2 linked regions of the Mytilus edulis genome follow. The protein of the gene in region 2 binds, or shares a complex with, the protein of the main gene of each other region. Links are inferred from orthologs where the notes say so. Each region holds a gene or a part of one and is shown on either strand. Other genes may lie near its edges.

Evidence for each region. The genes of interacting proteins can lie anywhere in the genome.
Region 1: the proteins of G-protein-signaling modulator 2-like (region 2) and protein inscuteable homolog are in contact, whole or in part, in a crystal structure (PDB 3RO3), measured with the Mus musculus proteins. The link is inferred for Mytilus edulis from reciprocal best matches to the Homo sapiens genes GPSM2 and INSC. Residues at the interface, in NP_083798.2 of Mus musculus: Asn210, Tyr213, Leu214, Phe218, Arg242, Ser246, Asn247, Asn250, Ile253, Phe254, Tyr265, Gln283, Tyr286, Ser287, Asn290, Thr291, Thr293, Leu294, Arg323, Trp326, Ser327, Asn330; in XP_006507722.1 of Mus musculus: Val72, Asp73, Ser74, Val75, Arg77, Trp78, Met79, Asp81, Leu82, Lys83, Leu84, Met85, Thr86, Glu87.

The regions. Positions count from the first base shown.
Region 1 is NC_092353.1:81,277,081-81,285,602, forward strand, and holds the start of protein inscuteable homolog, read left to right. Parts: upstream 1-5,090; 5' UTR 5,091-5,189; intron 5,190-8,522. Other genes in the region: uncharacterized protein, read right to left, coding at 699-851. UniProt on the Homo sapiens protein: May function as an adapter linking the Par3 complex to the GPSM1/GPSM2 complex. Involved in spindle orientation during mitosis. May regulate cell proliferation and differentiation in the developing nervous system.
Region 2 is NC_092345.1:1,970,221-1,978,051, forward strand, and holds the start of G-protein-signaling modulator 2-like, read right to left. Parts: upstream 3,465-7,831; 5' UTR 3,355-3,464; intron 1-3,354. Other genes in the region: pre-mRNA-splicing factor SYF1-like, read left to right, coding at 3,779-3,817, 6,930-7,078, 7,489-7,612. UniProt on the Homo sapiens protein: Plays an important role in mitotic spindle pole organization via its interaction with NUMA1. Required for cortical dynein-dynactin complex recruitment during metaphase. Plays a role in metaphase spindle orientation.

The DNA of each region.
Region 1 (8,522 bases), on a different chromosome or scaffold from region 2:
TGGCTAGAGGTATAGGGGGAGGGTTGAGATCTCATAAACATGTTTAACTCCGCCGCAATTTAGTGCCTGGCTCCTGACCTTTGTTAGTCTTGTATGATTTTTAATTTTAGTTTCTCGTGTATAATTAGTATGACGTCCATTATCACTGTACTTAAGTATACATATTTTTTAAGGGGGTAGCTGAAGGACGCCTACGGGTGCGGGAGTTTTTCGCTACATTGAAGACCCATTGGTGGCCTTCGGCTGTTGTCTGCTCTATGGTCAGGTTGTTGTTGCTTTGACACATTCCCCATTTCCTTTCTCAATTTTATAGAAAATTTAATAAAACCCTGCATATATTAAAACATTCAAATTTTATATATAATTTTATGAGTTTTCAGAAAAGCAACTGGATTTTAGCTTTCTAGACCTATTAGTTTTAAATACAATTGTTTATAAAACAGGAAATAATAATACAACGAAACCTAGTCCAAATAATTATGACGTCTTGAAAGGCTATTATAATTTTTTTCTTTGACGCCTTACATCGATGTAAGGCGTCAAAGAAAAAAATTATAATAGCCTTTCTAGACGTCATAATTATTTGGACTAAACGAAACCATGAAACACGATTCGTCAAGACCCTAAAAGCTAAAATTTGAGCTAAACGTCCTTTTCAACTCATAAAGATGTGTGTCATTATTGAGAAACATATTTACTGGTGATGGCTGATCATAATCATCAGATTGTCCTCCAAGACAGGGCAAACAAAGTCCCATATTTAGGAAACCTTTACAAAAACTCCAATATCCTATGTTAGGCTGTCTGCATTTTCGACCCAGATAAAAGCTTACTAAGAATATTCCTTGCATGATAACTTTTAGGTATGACTAAACACCAAACCCAAAATTTTAAAAAGAAAAGCGTAACAACATTTCTAATTAAAATATTTTCTACAAGCAGGGCTATGATAGTTAAATAATAATTAAAACATTCAACAGATGAAACAGTATAACGGTACGTACATGAAAATTACATTTGACACTACGTTCAGAAAAAATAGAAGGGTTACATGAAGTACAGCTATGTCGTTTGCCTGTCAGACATCATCGCATTTTCCATGTGTTTATTTGGTCGATTTTATTAAAAACCAGCGAGTTAAAATTAGACAGTGGCTATTTGACCGGCACCGGCAAAAGAGAAGAAATGCTATTTTGCCGGCTCTGATTAAAATATATCTCGCTGGAATTAAATTGTAAGAATAATAATTTTAAAATATTAAAATTAAAATTTATATTTAAAAACTTGTGTTACTGTTAGACTCATATGAATACTTTGAAAATTGAATATGACACATGAGGAAAGCATTTGATAGTTAAACTCAAAGTAATACTGTAGATGCTACTTATAAGACAAATAATCTGAATATGCCACTCTACTTAATAATCAATGGTGATAGGAATGGACAAAATGAAATATTTGCTATGTTCTTGCTTACACAGGAGGAGGAATCTAAACTTCAACTAGTTATTTAACAATTCAAATTAAAGAATGAAAACTAAGAAAATATACGGGCGATATAAACTGACAAAGACATGACCGAAAGAAATGTTTTGGGGGAAGCTATACCTCAAGAATAGCTGCAGTTGTGTTTGTTTCATGTTTTACGGAATTTTAGACGATAAGTTTCAATCGAAAAATTGGGGATAACAGTTGGTGAGAAAATTCAAGCTATTTGTCTTTCTATATTTCTCAAATGAATAAACTGGATATAAATATGAAGAGTTGGTTACACGAAATTGCAAATGTTAAATCGGTGTCCATTTGAAATTCGTAGCAAACAACTTTTAAAAATGTCTGTTTTATGATGTTGGATAACAGGGTTCTTATATAAAATGGTTGTTCAAACTCCGTTCATTCAATATTCTATTGACAATTCTTTTTATACATCTTTAAAAATGCATAAAGATGAAAACAGTCTTAACTTTCTACATTTAAAAAAGGTGAATGTCTTTTGTAAAAACCTGGTGCCAATCTGAAAATAAATCACAATGTTGATACAGGGGCGGATCCAGTCATTTTGTAAAAGGGGGGACCCGGCAACCCAGAATAAAAAGGGAGTGGTTCCAACCACATGTCCCCATTCATATGCATCATGATCTTTCAAAAAAGGGGATCCCCCCGCCCCACAACTAATATATAAAGCGACAAATTAACCACCTTTAAATTCTAAATCAATTTGAACAATATTACAAAAAATGTACAATATTCACCAAAATTGCATACATTGTATAGTTTATATAGAATAGTAACTTCTACACACCCACTATGTGCTTTTGAACAGGGACTTTCTATACTAACTATACTATTCGTCATTATAGTCTTGTTTTACGGGGGTTCCATAAACGACAAGTCTAGGGTTCTTTGACATCACTTTATACCCCGTTAAACAAGACTATTATATTAGTGTAGAAAGTCCATGTTTTGAATTCATGTCCTTTAGGCCTATGTATTTTTGTATAACAACTTAAGGCAGCCATCACAAATGTACACTGTGATGTGCACGTCACTGTAAGCACAGAATGCATTCTGACAATGTCCCTTTTTTTGATAAAATAAATCGTTCAGGGACTACCACGCTTTGAAAAGAAATGAGCTTTAAATTCTCGAAAAATATATGTAATTGTAGATAGAAATATTATCGTTACGTCTGTATTTAATCGGTGTCTAACATAACATTACATTAATTCAGTCTTGCAATTGAATGTAGTCTTTAACGTAACAATATTTCGTTTATTTACGATTAAAACAGCGTAATCGTAGCCGTTTCCTTTAGAATATGTTGTAAAATTTAAAAATCTTTTTAAATATGAAATGTATCTCCCTCATGTATAGATCCAATATCCCCTGTCAGTTTTGGTTTTAACTTTAAACAGTTATGTGGTTTTATAGTAGCCAGGACTTCGGTACTGACATGACAATGAATTTTGTTTTATTTTTGTTTTTATTGTATGCCAAATGTAGCACGACCGCCTACAAGCAAAAAAAAAATAAAAAAAAACAAGAAGGTGTGGTACGATTGCCTATGAGACATGGGAATAGTATATCAATATATATGTTCCTGATGAGACAACATGGCGTAGAAATTTATATTGTACCAAATCCTGTTTGGTCATATAGCTCTTCAACAGTTTAGGTTGTAAATTATAAATTCATGGTTTTCAAATATTCGGCTTTGAGATTTCCCGATTTAGGTAAATCCAGAAAAAACGCTTCAGACGTATGAATTATTCAACGTATTGTTCTCATTTTCTCTCTCTCATTAAAATCAAAATAGCTACGAATTTAGATCACAAGCAGGAAACAGTAGCTATGTAAGAGTGAATGTTTTATGAGATAATATATATACCTATGTGTTTTTTCAAGTCATCTAAATGATCTATCACACTGGCGTCCATGACCTGACCTCTGTATATCTAAAAAAAATAAATAACCCTGCCTTTGTAGAGAAACAGTCATAGTCTTTCATATCGTTGAACGATACTCTGTTTATATCATGATAGTGTTGGTACTCCCTCCGTCACTCAAAATCATATTGTTCATTTACAGTATCTATACACAATTCGAATACAAATCTTTTCAGTAATACAATTTAGAACAATCATCCTACTAAATTGCAGCTATAAATACTCATGTACAAAATTTTCAAAGCAATGTTATAAATCATAAACCAGTATCATGCAGAGTTACCGAAGAATGCAGTTATAATGACTGTTCGTCTACGATAGTAGAGGGGCTTTATATTTTCTGGTCTGCGGGTCCGTTCGTCCGTTCATTCGTCCGTCCGTTCGTCCCGCTTCATGTTAAAGTTTTTGGTCAAGGTAGTTTTTGATGAAGTTGAAGTCACATCAACTTGAAACCTAGTACACAATTGTTCCCTATGATATGATCTTTCTAATTTAATTCCAAATTAAAGTTTTGATCCCAATTGCAGGGTCCACTGAACATGGAAAATGATAGTGCGAGTGGGGCATCCGTGTACTATGGATACATTCTTGCTTTTGACATGTTTATAAACTTCCGACCCCTTTTTGAATTTCAATTCCTTGGAGTTCCATGTTTATATTAATACTTTTTGGCATATTATGGCTCTCACTTTGGGTAAACTTTTAATGAAATGTAGCAAAAACTTTGACAATAAAAAATCTAAATTCGTAAAGGAGAACCCCTTTTATAATAATAGTCAATATTATAGATTTCACGTATTAGAAGATACAGGTATGGATTTGGATGCATTGAAGAGTTATTCCTTACCTAATGGTGACACAGCATCAGCGTGATGATATTTTTCCGTTGCTGATTGACGAAAGAAGATATAACTAGAACTGTAAGAGAGAAAATATCAAAATTGAAGCTTTGCTATTAAAAGCTAGTAAATGATATCAAATCAGATATGAAGGACAGCAGAAAACTCACTATCTATAGATAGTAAGACAAAACAATACTAGAGACATACACACATCTAAAAAAAACATCTAATGTAACTGGTATTTGAATAAAAATAGCCTTGGGAAGGGTAGAATGTGTAGGGTGGGAATGGGTTTTGGGAGCGAACGGACCCGATACGGTTCAAGATCCTGTAATTCTTTCAGAACAAAATATTAATTAAGTAAGTAATTATTTACTATAGTGACATGTGTATCACAACATATATTTATACAATTTATTACAGATCAATTTGATATATAATAACTCAGTTTTAATTCTTTTATAGTATTTACCATGTGTTTCTATGGATTATATGATATTTCAAATATGTGCACTTTTGTTCTTCACGATGCGTTGTTGTTTTAAAATATATATGGTGTATCTTGTCAGTCTTCATACGGTTCTCTGTAGGGACAATCCGTTATTGTATCACATATCCAAACTTGTGGAAGTATGTTTTACGATTGTAAGTTATGTCACACTCATGTTTCACATAATTTGAATGCTTTTGAAGAATTCTTAAACCACATACATTCAGAAAATGTTACATTTTAAGTATTTTTTTCATTTCTAACATTAAAAGTTAACGTAAACAATTTTACATAAAATCTTCACTTTACCGTAACATCATTTGTTTATGTGGAAACCAGTGAAACGTGAAGAAAATCGGATCAAATTTTGTAAATAGTAGACATATTTTGGGGATTAATACACGAGGATGAGTGAGTATATTCTAATTTTTCAATTGAATTAGTACATATTTAAGAAATGTGCTCTTTGTTGCGTAAGAAATCATGGATTTCGGGTACAAAAAGTTTTCATAAGGAGGAAGCATAATTTTCTTCAAGAACAAGGAAACATTTGTATCATCTTACAAAAAATAAAGATTTTCATGCCATGTGTGTGTACAAGAACAGTGGCGGATCCAGCCATTTAAAAAAGGGGGTCCCCGTACGGTATCGGGATCGTTCGCCCTGATTACATGTTCGCCCTAGGTTCGTTCGCACTGAGTTTGTTCGCCCTGGTAATCCGTTCGTCCTGGGTTTGTTCGCCCTATTTTTATTTATGATATGTATATGTTATATATTATATATTTTATGTTTAAAATTTATAATGAAAGAAATATATATTTATATATATTAAAATTTATGTATATCTATTAAAAGTTAAATACAGAATATTAATTAAATAAAATTCTTGGCTGCATTAATTGTAACACTTTATTTTATAATTACGTTTAATTACTGTTGATTGAATTTTGATTGCTGATTAGGTATAATTTGAAATCTTTGATATCACTGATTGGTATATGAATTTGATGGTTAATAATGAAAATAACATTTTTCTCAAATAAAATAGTCAGCTTGGATGGGTAAAAACATTGATGTACAAATTGCTAGGCATGACAGGGAAATTATTTTCGCAGCTTGGCTTCTTTGATCTCAAGTGTGTTTTGACAAATTTGTTATATATGGAAGTGGATTATGGAACCGGTTTATCATTCCATAAACTATGGAAGTGTACATGTGTATTTCTTGTGACAGAGAGGTCCGACCTCGTCAACATGCAGTTTCTTGTTATAACTGTTACTGAATATTTTTATATTGTTAAAATGTATCAATAAAGTTAAATATATAAATAACTTAGTCTTTAGTTGTTTCATGTCAAATACTTTGTAGTCTTTCAATTCACAGAAACTTATCCTCGTAGCAGCAAGACAACATAATAACTTAGTACATTTGAAAATACAATGTAGTGCTGATTGAAATTCACAAAATCTTATTTCCTAGTAACGTAATTACATACAGATACTAACTTAGTTCTCAATACCTTGAAGTCACAATATCTTGTAGTCCTATAATTTACAGGAACTTATAACCTAGTAGCAGCTAGCTGTCGACAACATAATACACCGAAAATATTCGGCGAAATTGTAGGCCGACTTTAACATATATATTCAATTAAATACACACAAAACAACACTGTACTAAAAAATAAAAATCGTAAATATTCGGCGAAATTGTAGACTGACTTCAACATATTCAATTAAATACACACAAAACAACACTATAATAAAAAATATAAATCAGGGCGAACATACCCGGGGCGAACAGGTATCAGGGCGAACGGTCTCAGGGCGAAACGGAACTAGGGCGAACAGTAACTAGGGCGAACAAAAATCAGGGCGGACGGACCCGGATTCTCCCCGTACCACCCCCTGGATCCGCCAATGAAGAAGAATACTATATTTATTAAAATTACCCTAAATGACATTTCTTTAAAATAGAGACTAAAGATACAAAGGCTTTTAGCAATGTTTAGGGGGAGGGTTGAGATAAAAATAAAAAACATGTTTTAACCCTGCCAAAATGCACCAGTCCCAAGTCAGGAGCCTCTGACCTTTGTTAGTCTTGTATGGTTTTTAATTTTAGTTTCTTGTGTATATTTCAGAGTTTAGTACGAGGTCCATTATCATTTAACTAGCATACATTTTGTTTAGGGGCCAGCTGAAGCATGCCTCTGGGTGGGGGAGATTTAAGCTGCATTGAAGACCCATGGTGGCCCTTGGCTGTTGTCTGCGCTTTGGTCGAGTTGCTGTCTCCCTGACGTATTCCCCATTTCCATTTGCAATTTTGCAATTTATTATTATTCAAACACATAAATCAAAAACAAACTGAACATATGCCATGTTAGTCCTAATAATTATGACGTCTGGCAAGGCTTTTTTAATTTTTTTCTGGGACGTCCCAGAAAAAAATTAAAATAGCCTTGCCAGACTTCATAATCATTTGGACTAATGCCATGTATGCTGAAATGGCAAAAAAACAAAAAAAAATACAAATACATGGATGCTTCTAGTACTATATAGTTTAGGGTGCACTAAATCGGCCATTGGCCCAACAAATTATGTGAATATAAAAACCCAAGTGAGTGCTTTTCTAAATATGAAAATTCATGTAATTGGCCAGTTCAATTTGAAATCCATTTGAATCAAGGTAAATCTATAAAGATGACAGAAATGTCTCATTCTCCGTCTAGTGGTCTTATACCATTCTTTAAAAGAATCCAGTCTTTAGCCAGGAAGAAGAAGAATTAAAATCTTACTTGGATTAAGTTATGCATATACCATGATATATATATACATGTATACATTGCATATATTATACTTTTCCAGTTTGCAGAACTTAGGAAAATAAACTAACACACAAATTTCATTTGATTCAGTCAACGTTAACTCAGTAATCAATGGTTATACATGTACAGTTTAAATCACATATTGTTTGCAGGGGTCCATCTACATGTACATGTCTTGCACTTTTGTCTATTTAAATCAATTTAACTCGCAACATTAATAAAATGAGGGGATGTTCTTAAACTTCTTTTTCAACTTAGTTTGTTTTAGCACCTTCTGCAGAAATGTAAAAAATTAATAGCAATATTCTGGGAAGTTTTTTAATATTCTTAAACTCAAAATGCATTTTAATTTTAAATACATGTATCTAGGTCCAGACATTCTCCAAACCTTTTCCTAGTGCACAGGCTTGTCTGTACTCAGAGTGATATTTTTTTGGTGTAAATACGGCCATATTTGCTAAAAGTTTATGATAAACTTAATGTATATATGTTCTTTATATAGACTTTTTATTATAAATGCTTACCCCGTAAGCACAGATTTTGAGTCTTACCATACAAATCCTTGGCTTAAACATGCTTAAGCAGCACAGAAATGTACATGTACATTGATTCATCAAACTCTGTAGACCATCTTCTGAGGGATATTCAAACTAATATATAATGTAGTGGTTAAACTTCTCTCCTAACAATCTGGCTTCTTTCACCAATATAAAATTCAGTGGTTAAACTTCTCTCCTGACAATCTGGCTTCTTTCACCAATATAAAATGTAGCTGGTTAAACTTCTCTCCAGACAATCTGGCTTCTTTCACCAATATGAAATGTAGTAAACTTCTCTCCTGACAATCTGGCTTCTTTCACCAATATAAAATGTAGTGGTTAAACTTCTCTCCAGACAATCTGGCTTCTTTCACCAATATG
Region 2 (7,831 bases):
GCTTAGTCCTATAACATATGACCTCTGGGGCATTATTTACTATTTCTATTTACTGTTCTGATATTTTTCACATTAAAAAAAAAATATGAAAATATCAGTATAAAAACGTTAAAATTTGAATAAGAATGCGAAGTCATATGTTATAGGACTGACTATGCCTTGCTTAAAATAAAAGAAGACAAACAATAGAGCACATGACACAACATAGAAAACTAAAGAATAAGCAACACAAACCCCATCAATCAAAGAGCTGAAAGCTCTGAAGAAAAATGACGCCACTGTCTCTAATATTGGGATAGTTTTTATGCAAGTCTTGATTTTCACATACCGTAATTAGTTTAACAATGCAACATGTCTCGTAAGCATATAATTAATATTCGTATATGTGTGTGTGTGTGAAGTGAAGGTGACAACTGGCTGTTTTTTTAAGACAAATGAATAGGTCAAGACTACCTGAATTGTACAAATAAATACCGTAGAAAGGCTTGTATATTTCTCACTGGTACATAGTCTGAATCCGGGTCCGTTCGCGCCCACTCATGTTCGCCCCTTTCACTTTCACACCCTACATGTTCGCACCCAATCTTAATTGGTTTTGTGTTTAATAACTCTGTAAGCAAGTGTTTTCTTATAAGTATAATTGTTGTCATTGTCTCAAAATAAAGTGAGACAGCATTTTTTTTTGTGTTGAATAAATCTTAATCATGTTTTAGATAGCGTATTGTTAAAAATTATAATAATCCTTTCTAAATAAAGTGGTATTTTGTCAACGTTTTATTTTGTGTTGAATTACTCTTAATCATGTTTTGGTTGCTTTGTTTTGGTTATAATAGTGGATTGCTATATTTTGGTTCCTATATTTTATTGTTTCGTTGTTTCAGATCAAAGGGACCAAGCTGTTAAAAACAATTATCTTTTGTGTTTTTCCTTTAAAATCTTCAATGTTTTACTCATACCAAGCTATAAATACATTCAGTATTAACACCAAAGCAATTTAAAACAACAATCATGATTTTCCAATTATTCAACTTGAATTTGAATTAAAATTGGGCGCGAATGAGTAGAGTGCAAACGGACCTTGGGTGCGAACGTGCGAGGTGCGAACGTGTAGGGTGCGAAAGTGTATTGGGCGGGAACAGACATGATACCACATAGTCTGAACCCCCTTCTCCCACAAAATATTAAGTAAATAATCTTTTTGTTACTGTTATCAAAGGTCTTATGAAACTCAGGTAATTTCAAACATTTGTCAAAGAATTCTAGTCAAACCGGCACCTGGTTAAATTGGCACCTGGACAAATCAGCACCTGGTTAAATCCACACCTGATATAGTCAATTCGTCACCCATGTTAAATATAAATTTTAACAGTATTTTAAGCAAAAAGAGTAAAAATAAGTAAGGGGTTGCCAGAATTTTTTTCAGTATTTAAGCAAAAAGAGTTAAATACTAACTTTCACATTTTTGGGTGTTCATGTACATTTTGTATATATTTATTTTTCTCAACTTAATGACTTTTTTGGTGTATTTTTAATGATATATATATGAGTAGTCAAAATAATTATTACGTCTGGCAAGGCTTTTTTAATTTTATTCTGGGACACCTTTCTATGACCGCAAGGCTATGTTAATTTTTTTCTGGGACGCCTTCCTACGAACTTCGTAGGAAGACATCACAGAAAAAAAATAAAATAGCCTTGCCAGACGTCATAATTATTTGGACTAATACATGAGATATTGGATATTTTTATGCATTATTTAAACCAGTTGAGCATTTTACAGGATTGTTTGTTTAATGCTTTTTAAACTTTACTGAAGAAAAAAAACACCTTAAATTTGCTTATTATTTGGCATGAAAGTTTGATTTATTGAAAGGGACTCATAGTTTTCCATTTTATTTTAATAATTGTCTAATTGTTAAAACAACAGCTTGGGTAAGGGCTTCGTTGTTTACCTTTATACACAACAACATAATTTCACTTTGGTTTCGTTGTTTACCTAACTTCACAACAACATATTCACTATGTACTTGGTAACAGTTATTAATTAATTGAATAGAAAATATTATAACAAATATTATTGGATGCCGAATTGACGTCAAATAGGTGCCGATTTGACTAGATGCCAATTTAACCAGGTGCCGACTTGACTTGTACGTTTCAATTCCTCTGCGATCGTTTGCGGTATTTTCTTGAGAAAAACATATTTTCCATCATCAAAGAGAAGAAGAAACTGCTTGAAAATGATTCTGGAACGCTTCATGATTGTTAAAATAAGTTAAATTCACTCAAAAAACAATTTTAAAACTTGCGATGTTTAAACAGGAAGTTTCAAAAGCACGTGTAAAAGAAGAAATTAACCGGTGAGAGTGGAAATCCGTACATAACAGATATCACTATAGTACGATTTGAAAGCAAAACAGTTCCATCCTTTTGTAAAACAGTCTTTAATATACCTATCACATTAATGTTTGAAGGGTCTTAAGCTTATTCAAACCATAAAAGTCGGTATGAAACACCAAAACGGAATGAACAATAACCGATTACGTTTTGTAGTTTACAAATTCTAAACTGGTTCCCGTCAAACTACAACACTTTGTTCGAGTGTAGTGGAATACAAGCAGAAACCAGTTAGTTTGTAAACTGGTTCCTGGCTGATTACTACACAATGACCTCTCATGCATAATGATAACACAAGCAAATTCCAGTTTGTATAGAAAATAGTAAATACGAAACCAAGCGCGGTAGGCAGAGAAATGCAATGAAGTTCAGGTCGCCAGTAATGGAACAATGACTGCGTCATTTTCCAAAAACTAGGGGTGATCTCAGGTGCTCTGATCTGCTTAAGCTTATTAAGCTTAGATCTGCTCCAAATTACATTTTGACGTCAAATCTTTTGAATTGTGATGTCAAAGTTACGGAACATAATGGGGGACAAATTAGTATATGAGTGTAAATATTTCTATTGTCGGCTTTGGTCAGGTCATGTTTTTTCAAAAGCATGTATTTATTTTTTTCTTCTATATTTTTTTCTCAAGTATAAAATTATGAGAGAATCTTATTATCATTATATTTCACAATGTTTCAAATTTGTTATTAGCATATTTTTTTTTTATTTTGGTTCTTTCATTGTTCTGTCAATAGGGCCAATCATCACTGTAACCCACAGATATCAAAATGCAGCTGTATGCAAATTTGGATTTCAATTTCACAAAAAAAAACAGACAAAAATATCAATTGCAATATATATTGATCTATAAATTAAATATACTATAATGAAGCGTAACTGTCAAATTGTGACACACATAAAAAACAAAGACATCTACAATTTGGGAATGACAACACCTAAATACCTACCATTTATATTTTTACCGACAATCTCCTAATCCTCTTAGTCTTTTTTTCCAGAATTGTTTAGATGGAGGGAAGTTTAATCATTTCTCGTAACAAACGAGATTAATGTAGATGGGATATTCCATATGATACTAAGGGGGGCTAGGTTCCTATATTAAATTCTTAATTTTGATGCTTATCTTTAGAATTAGGAAAATGTAATTGTAAGATACAGTTTGTTTTCATTATTAAACAAATATTTGCTTGTATATCAATTTGGTCTCGATATTTTTTTTTAAATATTTTGCCTCACAAATTGATACACCCCTTTAAAATTTCACACAACGCATTTTATACGATCCAATATGTCAGCGCCCATGAAAACTTAAAACTAAAAGAAAAGAAATACTGAGAAAATATTATTCAACTTAAGACATTAAAAGAAAGGATGCCAGTACTGATGGAAAAACAGAAAGATATTTTCTTTGTAAATAACCCTTTTCAAGTTAATATGAGGCAGGCATTACCTGTACTGAAATGGGGACGAAGTCTGTATGAATTGTTTTTTTGTAACTTAAATATTTGTTAAAAAAAAGAAACGGAAATACCGTAACGTTTCCGATTTTGGTTCTGTTGTTAGGGATTTTAGTTGTGACGTTATTTAAATTATGACGTCATATGCAATGTAAACAAAGAAACGCTATCATCAGGTAACGTTTTTTCATATCAAGGAATTATTAAAAATGAAATTGGTATTGCGCGTTCCTTCCTATTTTATACTAGACTGATAAATATATATTTTACTTAAAGTTTCATACAAACGAGACCGGAAAAAGGAAGTACATTTCTGCGCAGGTTCGGGATTTCAAAACACGACAAAAAAATTTGAACGATTTTGAGTTCATTAGTACAATGAAAAAATTTTTATTGAATTTTCTACTGTTATTGGGGACTTCGTCCCCATACAAGCGGTTGTTGGCACTTTTGAAACGACGACCACACTTTAGAAGTGTCTTTTTTTTTAAATTATGTATTTTACATTATCAATATGCGAGTTTCGAGTTACAAATTATCTACTGGCACACTACATACAGTGTGTCTAATCGGCAGCAGCGATTGCAGCTTTTACCATAGAGGTGACGGTAAAAAAAATAAATGTTCCGAATACAAATCAAAATAAAAAATTTGAAACAAATTTTAATGTCGTTACAAAACTGTTGGAAGACGGGTTCTTTAAAGAGAAAAAAAGATTAAAAGGGTAACTCATGAGTATAAACACCCCCTATAAGTATGCTGGCTTATTACTTGGTTTATTTTTAAATTGATAAAGCTATAGTTGCTAATGTTTACACTATCAACTCACTGAACAACAAATAACAGGCTATTATTTGAACTTGGAATTATTTTTAATTATGGAATTTGCATAATTTCTTGTGTTTAAAATTTTTAATAAATTCCATGTTAATGTGGTATTAAAATCTTTTTAGCGGTTAATAAAACTTTCCATACAATGTATTTTGGTTAGATAGTGTTGTGCGCGGCACAGTACATTCTATTGAAAATATAGTATTTTCTTTGTAATAGAAAGTGTTGTGCGCAGCACAGAGCATTTCAGTACAGAATAAACATGGAATTTATAAAAAAATTCAATAACAAGATATCAAGCAAATTCCATAATTAAAAATAATTCCAAGTTCAAATAATAGCCTGTTAAATGTTAATCGATAAAATAATTCATTGACCAAAAAAATAATAATTATTTATAATTAATTTAAACAAAATCATGAAGCGCGTTTTCTATGGAAGTCTTTAATGAATAAGGCAGTTCATGATTTTTATTTATCTTTAATAAAAGTATGAAATATATTTTTGGTATTGTTTGAAAATATTTTTTTTGTGGTTCTTTTTCTGATTATGATCAGCATTGTCTTGTTGTTTGCTAGCGTGCTACTGCGGTAGGTCGTGGGTTCAAACCCCGGTAGGTCAAACCAATGACTTATAAATTGGTAGAATAATGTGGCCAGGTAAAAATGTACATGTAGGTTGATATGTCTTCCAGCGGAATGTTTACAGATAACTTGTGATCACTTGTGACATTAGAACGTCAAAAATCCGGTTAAGTAACAATATTGATCTAGTCTTCTCTACCTATTCTTATGGTTAATGATTATGTATAATAAATATATCCTAATTGATGCTTATAACATGTTCTAGTCTTTAAGAAGCTTATAACTTGCTGTTGGACATAAATAAATATATATACATAAGAACGTGTGTTGAAGCTTTTCGATAGTACAGGTCACAGGAGAATCGGAAAGTTTTGATTGACCAACATAGATTAACTTTAATATGAAACTTGTTTTGTTACTCACTAGGCTAGCTAATATAAAACAAACCCGCATTTTTGTTATTTTTTTTTTGTTTTTTTATTTTAAATAGTAATGCTGAAATAAGCTTCTCCCGTTTCAGGCACCCAGAATGCCCCTTAAAAAAAGGCAAAAAAATTGGTCACCTCGCTCCGCTAGGCGATTTGCCTCACTTTAAATAGACAGGCGCTACGGCCTTGACATCTACATCTACATGGGTAATCCGTAAAGAGTTGGTTGACTCATCACACGAATGTGTTAAAGCTTTTATAACAGACACAACGATAGGCATACATTTACACAATATATATACAAAAAGGTGTGTAATAACAGAATAAAAAATTGGCAAATGGACTATTTCAGATTTTCAAAGATTTTCAAAGTCTTTTCAAAAAGGGAAATAGCTTGAATTGAATTATAGCAAAGAAAATAATCAGTCAGGGGACTTATTCAAAAAAGTGATTTTTAAATCACTTATTTGAGTAGCAAATTCAAAATTTTGTGTGATTTTGTAGTTTTACCAAAATTTTTAACACATAGGTTTAAATAATATCTTTTCATTAGTAAAATTGAAAAACATGAATTTTTTGCTTCTTTTTAGTAGCAAGGTTTATGCCTTTGATGCTATCATTTAGTTGCAAATTCTATTTTAGTTGAAAAAATGCTATAATGACGGCTTTAAATAATGAACTGATACTTTCTAAACAGATTTTCCCCAGCAGTGGGAGTATTTTTCCTGTAAAGTTCAAGGTTTCATCTTTCAGATTATGTAATAAAATTCTACTGTTCGCGATAAAAATTTCACTGTTCAGAGGTGTTGAAATTAGTGGGGGTTATCAAAATATGATATTTTGGAAGAAAATTGAGGTATGATACTTAAACAGATGATTTTTATGTCATTATCCTAGATTCAGTACAAGGTCATCACCTGAAATGACCTGATCATCCTAGACAGCACAGATGATTGTTCTGATAAGTTTAGAAACATAATTAGTCCCTGGATCATTAGTATTCTATATTTAAAGCTACAATGAAATTAAATCACTTAGTCTAGTGATAAATTTGTACTACTTAAATAGGTGATTATTAAAGAAAGACAACTCTTGCTTCCAACCTTTATGGAAATAATGTTACTTGAACCAGTGATTTAGAAAATCACTTATTTAAGTAAGTCCCCTGACTGATAATATAATATCAAAAATTGCAAATGTTTTAGTTTGGTTTTTTTTCTAGGAAGAAGATGATCTACCATATGAAGAAGATATTTTACGAAACCCATATTCTGTTAAATGTTGGCTTCGTTACTTAGAGTTTAAGAAACTAGCTTCAAGAAATGTTGTTAATATGATATATGAAAGAGCTCTGAAAGAATTGCCAGGAAGGTAAATGATTAACAATTAATAATATCATTAATTACTAATTACTTATATATCTTACTTCATACCCAAATCATTTTGGATAACAGGCAATTTTTTCATTCATGTTTTTAGCTAATTTGATGGTTGATTTCTCAATAAGAAGTTTGATATATTTTCGTTAGCAAAAAGAGTGAATAAATTATGTTGTTCATCTACTTAAAAATTATTAAAAAAAAAGTACATAATCTCTAAGCAAGACTTCAACTTATTAGACCTCTTAAGAAAACTTCAGTTGTAACAGTCTCTTGTGATATTTTGTTACTGAGAAACAACTGTAAATGGACAATTTGACATGTACTGTATACTCTTCATGTAATTTGTTTTCATATATTTGTATGACCCTTTATGACTACCTTTGTTTATTTACATTGCAGCTACAAATTATGGTACAATTATTTAAAACTACGGAGACGACAAGTGAAAGGGAAGTGTATAAATGACCCAGCCGTAGAGGATGTATGCAATGCCCACGAGAGGGCGCTAGTGTTCATGCATAAGGTATGCTAACTGGTGTTAATGAAATTGACAACTGTATTGAATGTGGAAGATCCTCAAAGAGGATTTTCTTTAACAAAAAATAAAAATTATTTTATTAAACGTTGAAGAGAAAGATTCTTACATAGTTACTTGTGGATTATTGGATATATCCAATCTTGATAGTTAAATTATAAATTTTAAAGTCCTCGCCAGGGTTTGACTTTAAAATTGATAATTTAA